2 linked regions of the Saccharomyces cerevisiae S288C genome follow. The protein of the gene in region 2 interacts with the protein of the main gene of each other region in a pairwise test. Each region holds a gene or a part of one and is shown on either strand. Other genes may lie near its edges. The genes, in order: URB1 and URB2.

The links.
Region 1: the proteins of URB2 (region 2) and URB1 interact in binary tests that used the Saccharomyces cerevisiae proteins (3 or more experiments, as listed by UniProt).

What each region holds. Positions count from the first base shown.
Region 1 is NC_001143.9:411,073-418,731, forward strand, and holds URB1 (Urb1p), read right to left. Parts: upstream 5,842-7,659; coding exon 547-5,841; downstream 1-546. Other genes in the region: PUT3 (Put3p), read left to right, coding at 1-411; ARC19 (Arc19p), read right to left, coding at 6,436-6,951; snoRNA-splicing protein PRP40, read left to right, coding at 7,238-7,659. UniProt on the Saccharomyces cerevisiae protein: Required for 60S ribosomal subunit formation and pre-rRNA processing. Required for normal accumulation of 25S and 5.8S rRNAs.
Region 2 is NC_001142.9:509,438-515,273, forward strand, and holds URB2 (ribosome biogenesis protein URB2), read right to left. Parts: upstream 4,327-5,836; coding exon 802-4,326; downstream 1-801. Other genes in the region: GEF1 (Gef1p), read left to right, coding at 1-648; NUP85 (Nup85p), read left to right, coding at 4,618-5,836.

The sequences.
Region 1 (7,659 bases), on a different chromosome or scaffold from region 2:
ATCAAGAACGAATCTATATCGAACATTGTTAGCATACTTCCGGAAGGCGCGAAACCAACGCTGACTGATTATAGTAATGGTAATAATGATGTTAATGATATTAACGTCAATAACTCGGAACCTTCTACTTTTTTTGATATCATAACTGCGAGCTTGGAAAATTCATACCAAACCACGCTAACTGAAAAGGGCTCTCAGGTGATGGAAAAAAACATGGATCAGTTGGATTCCGTTCATAATCTAAATGATGACGATTTACAACAATTGTTGGAGGATTTAGGCAATATTGATCATTCCGATGAAAAACTTTGGAAGGAAATCACTGATCAAGCAATGTGGCTGGGAAATACTATGGATCCAACTGCAGCTGCTGGTAGTGAAATTGACTTTACTGATTATTTAGGACCATAACACCATTACAAAGACAAAGAAGAAAATACTGATTTCTTTGTTTTCTTATGCATATATTATACATTTCGCACATTATATAGAAAAGTGGACATTTAATTCTTCAAATCTTATTTAAAATATCTATCACAAGACAGCTCATTTACGTAGCCTCTTGACAACATTGTCGCTATCACCTTCTGTCCATAATATTAGCCTTTTTTGTGATTTGACAAGCTCGTTGTAGCCTAATAGTAGTTTTTCAATTCCGTTTTGTTCTTGGGCTAACCTCAAAGTAGTATTTAATGTACCTCTGTTTTCGTTCCGTAAAGTACCAATGTTGTTCAGTATATCGTCCTGTGGTAGTCTAGATTTGATGTTATTGTTCAAAACCTCGAAAAACGACACAATACCGTTTCTGCTAATTAAATTCAAACCACCATCATCTGCTACCCTTTGGACTTTGTAAAAAATAAAATAGATTAGTTCGCGTAATCTTTCTTTCAAGTATGGCATATTGATCAAGTTTAACAACCATTCAAATACACCTTTCTTCTCTAACATCTTGTAATCTTCATCCGTTTTAATTCCCTTACAAATGGTTGTTAAAACCCAACTCAATTCTCCATAGTATATTTCCATATCAATTTCTTTCTTATTGTCATCTTGTTGTCTCTTATTGTAGGACATCATCACATCAGATACCATAGGGATGTCCCAACTACGTATGGTAGAATTTGATAATACCCAGCGGTATGCCTTCTCATGTAAGGGCGCAGTTGGACTTCCCAATAGATCAACAATTCTAGAGATAGAAAACCAAATTAACGGATTGATAGGATCTTGATTTTGTTGTCTCTGGTATAAAATCCTTTTAATCAACACTTGGTAAATGCTATTATATTTGATTAAATCGCTATCAGATTCTTTTCTTTCATTATCCTTGCTAGTTATTTGCTTTTCAAGATTCATCTGGGCAGTTTTCTTCTCCAAAGAAGAAGCTAAATTTGATAAATGTTCGTAACTTATATTGGCAACGGTATGACAATCGCTTAATGAGCAAATAATAAACTGAAATATTTTGCAATCAAGGAAATTTTCAAATTCATATCTGTATGTTACATTGCCCTCGTCATCTTTGACCATTTTTACCAGCTCTTTGTTATGGATTATTAATAGCAGTAAAAATAATGGATCGTACATATCAACACCAGATCGTTCGGTATCATCGTAGTACTTTTTGACTAGGTCACACCTTGTAGTAGCATCATAATTGTTTGTATTAGAATCGGTATATAATTCAGGGACTTGAGGCCTTTCCAATACGTATCTGTCAATGGACTTTTTGATCATGTTTTTTTGTAGTGTTAGTATCAACCCCTCCCTTTCTTTGGTAATCAGCCTCGTGTCTCCAATGGCTTCCAAGATTTCTTCCTCTTCGTCTTTGATAAATTCCCAAGAAAAAATCATGTTTGTCCATGAAGTAGCGGTGTGAGATTCGATAGTTTCTAGAATTTTCAGTATCAACTTGTCGTTACTGGAAATAGTACCGGAGTAAAAAGTCAATAATTTCTCTTGAACTATTGGCGTCGAATTTACGACCGGGTCGATGCTGAATAAAGAGAATAATATCATTGTGCTTAAGAACTTTCGATACGATGAATCTTCATCATTGTCTTTAATCATTATTGATGAGTAACTGTCATTGCTTAATAAAAGTTGAACCATTCTTTGCGATTGAATTGACTTTTTGCTCACACAAAAAATTAATACAATAACGTATTCAAGAACCTTAATTTGTTTGATCCACTCACTGCCTAGAATAGCCTCTAATTGAGAATTAATGATTTTGACATTCAACTTATTTGGTACCTCTTCAAGTTTTAAGAGCTCAGCCATCGCTCTTAGTAACTCAAAAAAAGAATTGGAGATAACTTTTCTTTCTGAAAGGTACTTTGTAAGGTAAAGAAGAGTTTTATGTAACCATGTTTCTACCCCTGGATAAGTAAAATTATTGTGTGCAGCTATGTATCTTACTGTAGCAGCATGATATTTATGGTCGCTCTGTGATAAAACACATTTCAAAATTTCATTTCGTTTCGTTTCGTCATAGAAATCAATATAAGTGGTAATCATATTTAATATTTCGTCAAAAATCTCACTTTTCGAGGTAGTGTAAGTACTTTTCGCAATTTCATTACCATACTTGGAAATGGTTTCATGCGCAAATGCGCTAAAATCTTTATCCTGCATGTGCTTGAACAAAGCAGCCGTTGTTACAATACTTAGTAAAGGTGAATCCTTGATCCTCCAGATACTTGGTATGAAAGATGGGAAAGAAAAATGTTCCCATCTGTAAAAAGCTTTCAGTACTAGATAATTCAAATCACTAGACACAAAACTATTTATCAGAGAAGTAGTTTCTGAAAGGGATAGCTTACCCATAGGATCAGATGAAGCATCAACACAAACTTTGTTTTCTTCAAAAAATTTAGCCAAAGAGATGTTTACTTCCTTAATTGAAGCAGGATCTTCATTTGCAGCTTTGTTCAGTATATTCTTTACAAGGGATATTTTTATAGTTTTTCCTTCGTTGAATAATTTTTGGAGAATGTTTCTTGTGGACTCTAGTTTGGTGCTACACATGAGTAGCGAAGTTAAAGCTGAAGTACTTAAATACTCACTAACACTTGTTAAGAAAGCATTTACATCTTCTTTCTGATACAACTCATTATAGTTGGCATACTCTTCGACATTTTCACCACTAAACACGACTTTTTGAATTATTTCTCGGAATTCCACTAATTGATGGCCTGTTTCAAAGCATACTGCACCGATTAAATTGCACATGAACCTTGATTTTTTCATGAGTAGAGCATTTCTTTTTTCAATGGCCAGTTTTGGTAAAGCGAAATTTATATACCTTTCCAAAACTTTGATAATTGGGAATTCTGTGTCTGTTACCATGTAGCTAGCAATCTTGCCAGTTAACTCACAGGCAGTTGCTTCGAACCAATTGTCATATACAACAGAATCGTCTTCTACCAATAACTGAACTCTAAAAAGGATTCCTGCCGCATCTAATTTGTTCACTGGTAATCTAGAAATATTCATTAGATTTTTAGATGGAAGCGCCGAAATATACTGGAAAAAAGATGAGCTCTTCATTGAAGAAATTAAAGAATTAGAGCTATTAGTTTTCTTTATGTTTTCTTCAAATGAGTCAAGTTTCAAGTATATATTAACATCATGATCAGAGACCTCAGGAAAGACATTTTTAACAAGTTTATCTATGCCTATATGGTCTTCACCAATGAAAATCATGTTTCTAAGAAAAAGTATAAGCCATTTAATTAAAAACTCTGGGTTTCCACTCTTGTCAACGTATTTCCATTGCTCTGAAAGGCACATTATGAAGGGAGAAATGTAGTTATACTCTTTTGCCATATCGACGTACTTGTATGGTGTTTTTACGACACGAGATATAGTTTCGTCAAACCACTTCCAGACTTGTTCCATGTTGTCAATTTCAGAAACTTGAAGGGAAAGCCCTTGAAGACTATTCACTAAAGCCATCACTGGTGAAATTAAAGATATGTTGAAGATAACGTTTGTTCTCGTCAGCTCATCGAGCAAGTTGGATATTCTTGTAGTTATCACGTTAGAAGCATTTTTGGAGGATGCTAGCTTTAATAGTAGGGTGAATAAAGAATTTCCACCAGAACTTGGATTCCACCACCTGGTTTGAGTAGAGTTAAATTCTTGAAATTGTAAGTAGTTGTCCAGAATAGCAAATTCTATGCCAGAAATCTTGGATTTTTGCATGATATCTGTGTAAATATTTGATGATGGTAGGTTAATTGAGAAGAGGTTGGGGAACATTTTACTATAGTAGTTGAATATGATGGATATGGACAGAGGTAAAATTCTATTATCCTTATTGGAAGCCAAAGAATTGCTCAAAGTAGATACGAAGATTGGTAAATCAGGAATTCTAGTATGAAACTCGTTGAGTAAAATAGTTTTTTCATTTCTCCAGCCTTTTTGATCATAAAATGTGGAAACTTTTTCTAATTTTTTTAACGCTAGAACTATTGATTGACAGGCTAATTGTCTTATGATGGGTGTTTCAAATTGTAGGGATTTAACCAACGAGGATTTGGTGAGCAAAGATGGCAGAATGTTTTCTATAACTAATGAAGTGGCAGGTGGAATATTGCTATCAACTTTCTCCATAAATTGCGGTATCTTAAGATTAATAATCTTGTTAATCAGTAACGTTATACCAAACCAATACGAAGTCATCTTAGGGTCATAGTTACCATTCGTCGTTAAAAAGATGCTGTAAGGAGCAACAAGTTCGGGAACGTTCTCCAATATTTTGATCAACGTACCTAATTGCAGCGTATCTTCCCAAGGTTTGAAAAGGCGTAAAGTGTTGAACAAAAGTTTATTATGAATTTGAAATTCCACTTGGTTGACGGTTATCGGAGCTCCATGAGAAGCTCCATCAGCAACTGAATTTTTGAACCAAACGCAATTATCAGGAAATGCTACGCTAAAGTCACGGGAAGCTCCAAAAGTTAAGAAAAACTCATTTGCCTTCTTAACCAAATTCTTGTTTGATGAATAATAAAAGTGATGAATCTTTGAAGCCGCTAGTTCATTTAAAATTTTGGTTTTAGTAGTTCTCTTGAAGGATTTCTCCTTTAAAATGTCGTTTATGAATACCGATAGTATGTGCTCAGATAACTTGTCAGAATCAGCCTTATTCATGAATTTAAATAGGTTGCTCATAATCTTAAAGTTTTCTGTCAAAAGTTCTTTTCTCACGAATGGGGAAGCATTTGAGATCAATGTCAACCAAAACTTGATAAATGTAAATCTTAATGAGTCATGTTTGGATGAATCAGCAGATGAATTCCCATTGGCTAACTCAGACTTGCTTGGTACCAACAGTCTTGGTAAAATAGGTAATGAAAAATCGAAATATGAAACTAATTCCTCTATATGTTGCCCATTGTTGAAATTGACTATTTGTTTGAGTAGACGAAGAATTGGATTAGTTAATTGCGCACGCATATTGTTCAACCCTCTATAGAGAACTTTTGTGTAATCGGTCAATATCAATCTAATTAGACCGCTCCCAATAGTCACTGTACTAGTATCAGATGACAAAACTCGTAAGGTTTTAGTCAGTAATGAGGTAGTTTTCGAGAATTTCCCATGGTTATTTACTTGAGCATAATATGACCAAGTCTGTACCAATTGAGCACCAAATCCTCTTTGGAAGAACACTATTAGAGGTTGGTAATCTTTGGAGAGAGTTTCATCTTCGACTGCACTGATTATACTTTCTAGTGTTTCTAATGTACCGTCTTCGAACTCTTTCCCTTGGGTGTACTTCTCCCTTCTCTGGTCGCGAGATCCATAGGCTTCGCTATGATTACTCATTATGTAAGTGCTCCTCTAGTTCTGTTAGATGAAGTAGTACCGCATAGATTAGAGAAATAATATCCAATCAAGAATATAACCGAACTATTCTTTGCGATGAGCTTTATTGCTGAAATTTTTCATATTTCGTCTACAGTGATATAATATTGAAATCCTCATGCAAGTCGTGCATAGGTAAAAGCTGTTTACTATATGTTGGTGCACTATTATCATATAATTTTAGTTTGGTCGTATACTAGTGCGGCAGTAATAATAAATGCTTTAGAATCTTCAATCTTCATTTGTTTACGTAAAATGAAAACGTTTTGTGTTAGAATTGACAGATTGAAGTTTAATTTTAGGTGTCGGGAGAAACATTTTAATCCCTTTTTATGAATATAATTTAAGTACTAAAAAAATCACCATAATTATACAAAGTAACTGCAATTTAAAAGTACGTTTATAATTAATTCACATACACATGTTATTGTATCTAACTAAATAGTCTCGAAATAGTTCAATTGAGTACGCAAACTAACACAGTCAGTACAGATCGTAAAGTTTTCCGTCAATAGGGCCCTGACGGAGAAAGATTCCCTTTCCTATATTAGGAATCTAATAGACAAATTCATCAAGATATGCTTCCGCAACAAATCTTGCTCTGGCATTCAAAAACAGTTTAATTTCACTGATTTCCTTATCCACGTCCTCCATGAATTCAATAATAAAATCAACCAATTTCCCAGTTTTCATTGATTCAGTATGCTTATTAGTTATTAGAAAAGAAATACTGTAGCCAGGTATTGGTACACGTCTCAGAATGTAGAATGCTTCAGCACGCTGTTCCAAAAATCTAGTAAACTTGTGAACTAAAATCTGCTCAATTTCATCTGCCTGTTTCACCATTAAACTCATACGCACCGAGTTTACACTGGGCTCAATCAATACTTGTTCATTTTCATTACGAGATATATGCATCGGTTGGAGCAACAATTCGGCGCTAGTGTTAGGGACTTCAACTTCCGGTCTGTTGTGCCTCTCCACTTCCTGCGAAGAGAAATTGCTCAAAGTCAACGCAGCTTCCAGGGAATAACGAACAGCCGTTAGATACGGACGTAATGATTGTGACATTTCCTACTATCAGTTGCTTCCTCTTTTATCTTTTGTCAAAGTGACACCGAGTTGTTCCGAAAGCCTCTATTTGCTTGGCTTTACAGGCTTTTTTTGTTCTATAATTGTATTTTGCTATACAAAAGGGGCGACGTGGTAAACGATATGAAATTATCGACAATAATAATGTACTTGGAAATCTGGCAGTTGATGACATCGCAATAGCGTGCCTACCTATCAGGATAACAAGGTCTGAAGCCAGATCGACCACTAGACAAGCATTGCCGGAGGTGGGAGACGTGAAACTATGTCTATTTGGAAGGAAGCTAAAGATGCAAGTGGAAGGATATATTATTACAATACTTTGACAAAGAAATCTACGTGGGAGAAGCCCAAGGAACTAATTTCTCAGGAGGAGCTACTTCTTCGAGAAAATGGCTGGAAGGCGGCCAAGACGGCAGACGGCAAAGTATACTATTATAATCCAACAACAAGAGAAACCAGCTGGACTATTCCGGCCTTCGAGAAGAAAGTAGAACCCATCGCAGAACAAAAACATGATACAGTATCCCATGCACAGGTTAATGGAAATAGAATAGCCCTTACGGCTGGAGAAAAACAAGAGCCGGGACGAACTATAAACGAGGAGGAAAGCCAATATGCTAATAACTCTAAACTGCTTAATGTCAGGAGAAGGACTAAAGAAGAAGCAGAGAAGGAATTTATTAC
Region 2 (5,836 bases):
AATGGATTCCCATATTTGGAAGACGAGCAAGACGAGGAAGAGGAGGAAACCTTAGAAAAATACACTGCAGAGCAGCTCATGTCCTCCAAATTAATTACTATTAATGAAACCATTTACCTTTCCGAGCTTGAATCTTTGTTGTACGACTCAGCGTCTGAATATTCTGTGCATGGTTTTCCAATAACTAAGGATGAGGATAAGTTTGAGAAGGAAAAAAGATGTATTGGCTATGTTTTAAAAAGGCACTTAGCCAGTAAAATCATGATGCAAAGCGTAAATAGCACCAAAGCTCAAACGACACTGGTATACTTCAATAAGTCTAACGAAGAGTTGGGACATCGTGAAAACTGCATCGGATTTAAGGATATTATGAATGAATCTCCAATCTCGGTGAAGAAGGCGGTGCCAGTAACATTGTTATTCCGTATGTTTAAAGAGCTAGGTTGTAAGACTATCATCGTAGAGGAAAGTGGAATTTTAAAGGGGTTGGTCACTGCTAAAGATATTTTGAGGTTCAAAAGAATTAAGTATCGAGAAGTTCACGGTGCGAAATTTACATATAATGAAGCACTTGATAGAAGATGTTGGTCAGTTATCCATTTCATAATCAAAAGGTTTACCACTAATCGAAATGGTAACGTTATATGATTAGACATTTATGTAATTTTTAAGGCGCTAGTATAGATTATTCAAAATTATATGATACAGACTTTTATCAATTTTTACTTGTTTAAGCTCCGTCACCCTGTTATTAAACGTGAGCAGAGAAATGCCTTTTGAAAACACACTAAAACACATAAGTTAATCTTCGCGCCATTTACCAACCTTTTTGTATTGGAGGTAAAGTGCTTTGAAATATTGTTTCCCAGGTGTGTCAAGGAAAGCGTTCAATTGATTCAACTCGTTCTGAGATAATATATCAAAAATCGCATGAATACCGGGCTGCAGACTCTTTTTTATGTTTAAACTGAACTGCGTCGTAATAGACAACTGTATATATTTCGTTAGAACCACAAGTACATTTTTTCTGATGGACTGCTTTATCAAACTTATCTTTGAGCTTAAGTTATTTTTCTGCCCATTTTGAGCGTTTGATACATTATAAGGCTCGCAGTAGTTCGTTATTAGTCTGGCTACGGCGTCTGCTGAATTTGCACACAATGTACCATCATGAATTGCTATTATTTCTAGTATCTGGCAAAGAACGGAGTTAAACAAATGGTGACGATTGGAAAATTTAAACCTGTGAACTAATAGCATATGATCTATCACTTCGATGATGTTAATAAAGCCTTCATTGATTTCATCCGTTGACTCATGGTTTACTATAAAAGCGAGAGTTTTTAAACAGAAAGGAAGCAGCATTTCAATACAGTATTGGCTGAATAGCCATGGTTTCGATACTAAGAACTCCTTGATAGCATTGAACAGTAGCAAGTATGACTTGTAGCCAAATTTTTCTATATCACAATAGGTGTAGGCTTCAAGTAAAGCTATCACAAATAGGTGATGACCAAGGTTATTGTCTCTTGCAATCCTTTTTGACATTATGATAAAAACTCTCACAAATTTTTCAGCACAAGGTTGGCTAATGGTGGAAAACGATTTAGCACTGTTCCAGAGCAGGCGGTTAAACGCATCAGGACCTTGTTTAAGACTTTCTTCCAAGCAGAACCCCAAGGCAGAATCGCACTTATCTGTATGCTCAATATTTAAGTACTCTGCAAAAATATACTCCAACTTGTTTTCTGTAAGGAGTGAATGAACCAAAAACATTTCCTGTTCTTCTGGCGCATGGTACACTTTTTTAGAATGATATCGAAGCATAATTTTGGAAAATATATCCAGAATTCTCGATTTATGCTTAGAAATATCGCCTTGTCCGGTCGTTATAATCTTGTACAATGTAGACATTGATATTCTGAAAAGGGGAATTGTTTCAGATTCAAAATTTTCAGAGTAGTTTTCCAAAATTTTAACAGCATAGCTAATTGCCATACCTTGTATATCTCTATGCTTGTTATCTGGTTTCAAAAATTTTGCGATAGTAAACCCGGCGATAATTAGTTTGCTATCACCATTGGACAATGACATTGACTGTTTAACGATATCGTAACCAGATTCTAAGAACTTCTCACTCACAGGCTCCTTTGCCTGTGACAGATGATTAGTCCAAACTTTTTCGAAAATAGATATTTTGTCTTCTATTTCCTTTTTTTCATCACCTGTCTCTGAAATGGCCATTTCGGGGCTCATTATTGTTTTCTCACATAATTCGTAGAAATTTGTTTCAATGTTGCTCTTGAAGGTCGGGCTTGACAATAAATGAAGGAGGCATTCTCTAGTAGCGGAATCAAGGCAAAATGATTCGCATGTTAGATTGTTAATGAGAGCCACTCTAACGTTTTTGTTGATGCATTGGATAGGAATTTGAATCAAAGCTTCTAGAGCGAAGGTTTGATGGTATGATGAAGCAAGCTTGTTTATTAAAGCGTACGTGATATTTGTCTCCTCAAAAATGTCATCATTTTTTAATAACGAAGATAAATTTGTCGAGTTCAATAGTAATGAATCAATTAAAGAAGAAATTTGTTCTCTTGTAAAGTTGTTGTTTACTAATGTTGCAAATTTGGACACAACAGAGTATGATAAGTTTGACTTTCTTTCTTCGTCAAGGATTTCAAAGTGCCTCATGAATTTTTTTTTTGCATCAGAAAGATCGAACGAAATATATTCTCTCAATTTGAAGCAATAAAAGAACAGTTCTTCAACATCAGCCGATGTAGTATCAAAAATATTAGAAGATAACACGTAATCGATTTTTTCTAGTTCCTCTGCAGGGACAATATCATCGTAGACTTCCATTATATGATACTTTAGGTCCCATTGAAGACTGTTATTAAATGATTCCAAAGTAAATACTTGAGATAAAATAGGCTTTACCTCATCGAGAGTTGCGCGCGATGCGCCCTCTGATAGTCCCTCCAAGCATATGCGTATTAAATATAAAGGAACCCTGTTGGTGGAATCGTGATTGACTTGGTCAAGTAAAGCTTGCAATAGATTTTTCCATTGTAAAGAAGATAAAGTGAACAATTGCTTCGTTATAGACTTGACATATGCAGGATGATTTATCAAAAAATAGGAATCGGGTCCTTTTCTGGAACAGTACTCATTTATTTTGGCAAAAAAATCTGATAATTCCCTTGCGTTAGCGTGTGATTGGATTATTAAATCCCAAATATGAGAGGAAAAGAGAGGATCGTTCAAATTTTCGAGCTGAATCAATTCAAGTAACCGAAAAATATGTTTAATAGCAACCTCGATATCCAATTTAAGGATAATTGGTATTAATGATAACACTCCAGATTCATCAGTCGACGCTAACATTTCAAGCAATAATGCTTCAAGGAACTCTTGAGATACGGTTTTCTTCGATTCCGATAAAAGATTCAGAAATCTGCATTCTAAACTAGGTTTCTTGGCACCTAAAATTGTAAAGATGACTTCTAGTTGAGCAAAATTGTCTTTTGATAAGAAAGTGACGAAAGTGGCAAAATAATAATAAGCCATATCGTCGGTAATTTCGGACGCATTCTCTTGGACAAACTTTTTATTTAATTTCATGTAATCTATGCGTGGTTGTAAAAGGAACTTTCCCATAAAATGAGATAGACGAATGAAGGATTGGTTTGAAGATGCAGAATTTTTGGTCTGTGCGAAATATCTTAAACTTGGTAGTAGCATATGCTTGCAGTAACAAGTAGCAATTTTGTTATCCGTTGTAGTAATATTGTCAACATGAGTTAGATTGCAGGCATCTTGCAAGTATGAAAGCGCAAAGTCAGTCGTCGGGCACGAACTTAATCCATTTATGGCATGTTCTAAAAGTTGAAAAGACTCTTCAACAGAAAAATTGACAATCAAGTAGTCATTAATCGCAAAAAATGCTTTTATAAACGAAACGCTACGTGTAAGTAATTTGTCTTTAGGCCAAAGGAAAAATGTTCTTATCATTACAGGCACAGTCTTCAATTTTTTGAGTAGTTTTTTTATCGAAATTGGATCATTAATAGCATCTAATAATCTCGTGAAAATTATCCAAGTATGTTCACTGGTCTTAAAATCATCCAAATTTCCATTGTTGAGCCTATCAATGAGTAAATCTAAGACGAAAATTTCTTTTTTTGGAAAGTAGGTTTCTAATTTATCAAATTTTGAAACTATCTCGGCAATTTGATGGGGTTTTGTGCTCGTCGAACGTAGTAATTTCGACAAATCTTGGGCATTGTCTGGGATAGATAGTTCTTCTGTAAGATCACCCATATTATCAAAAAGTGCAGTATACTCTCTGTTTTTCCAAAGATAATTGATGGCAAGCTAAATCTTAGACAGAGATGTTCCTATGCTAGTAAACAATTCTGTAGTTGTGACCAAGTGCCCTCTTAGCGATCATTTTGAGATGAGCTAAGTGAAATTTTTCAGATCGCGCACGACGGAGAGGTTTTTTAGTTGGATGGAAGTCAAGCCTTGTACAAATTGTAGTTGTATAGAAAACATTGAACTTACGGTCTTGAGTTGAGTCAATAAGCGTGAGCCAGAACGCAATTATCAGATATGACAATCGATGATTCAAATCGATTACTTATGGACGTCGATCAATTTGATTTTTTGGACGACGGAACGGCGCAACTTAGTAATAACAAGACCGATGAAGAAGAACAACTATATAAAAGGGACCCAGTCAGCGGGGCTATCCTGGTCCCTATGACTGTAAATGATCAACCGATTGAAAAAAATGGCGACAAGATGCCTTTAAAGTTCAAGCTGGGGCCACTTTCTTACCAAAATATGGCATTCATAACTGCAAAAGATAAATATAAGCTTTATCCTGTTAGAATTCCTAGATTAGATACCAGCAAAGAGTTTTCTGCATACGTATCAGGTTTATTTGAAATTTACCGTGATTTAGGTGATGACAGAGTGTTTAATGTACCAACGATTGGAGTTGTTAATTCTAATTTCGCGAAGGAGCATAATGCAACAGTAAATCTGGCCATGGAGGCGATTCTGAATGAATTGGAAGTGTTTATTGGTAGAGTCAAGGATCAGGATGGAAGAGTGAACCGATTTTATGAGTTGGAAGAATCTTTAACCGTTTTAAACTGTCTGAGGACAATGTACTTCATATTAGATGGTCAGGATGTAGAGGAGAACAGATCAGAGTTTATTGAGTCATTGCTAAACTGGATTAATAGATCAGACGGTGAACCAGATGAAGAATATATTGAACAAGTGTTTTCAGTGAAGGATTCTACAGCAGGTAAAAAAGTGTTCGAAACACAATATTTCTGGAAGCTTTTGAATCAGCTTGTTTTAAGAGGCCTGCTCTCCCAAGCTATAGGTTGCATTGAAAGATCAGATCTTTTACCATATTTGAGTGATACATGTGCCGTTTCATTTGATGCAGTAAGTGACTCCATCGAACTCCTGAAACAATATCCAAAAGATTCGTCCAGTACATTTAGAGAATGGAAAAATTTGGTGCTAAAATTAAGTCAAGCCTTTGGTAGTTCTGCTACTGATATTTCCGGTGAATTACGGGATTACATTGAAGATTTCTTGTTAGTAATTGGTGGAAATCAACGAAAAATTCTGCAGTATTCAAGGACGTGGTATGAGTCCTTTTGTGGGTTTTTATTATACTATATCCCCTCATTAGAACTATCAGCAGAATATTTACAAATGTCACTGGAAGCTAACGTCGTAGACATAACAAATGATTGGGAACAACCATGCGTCGACATCATTAGTGGTAAGATACACTCAATTTTAC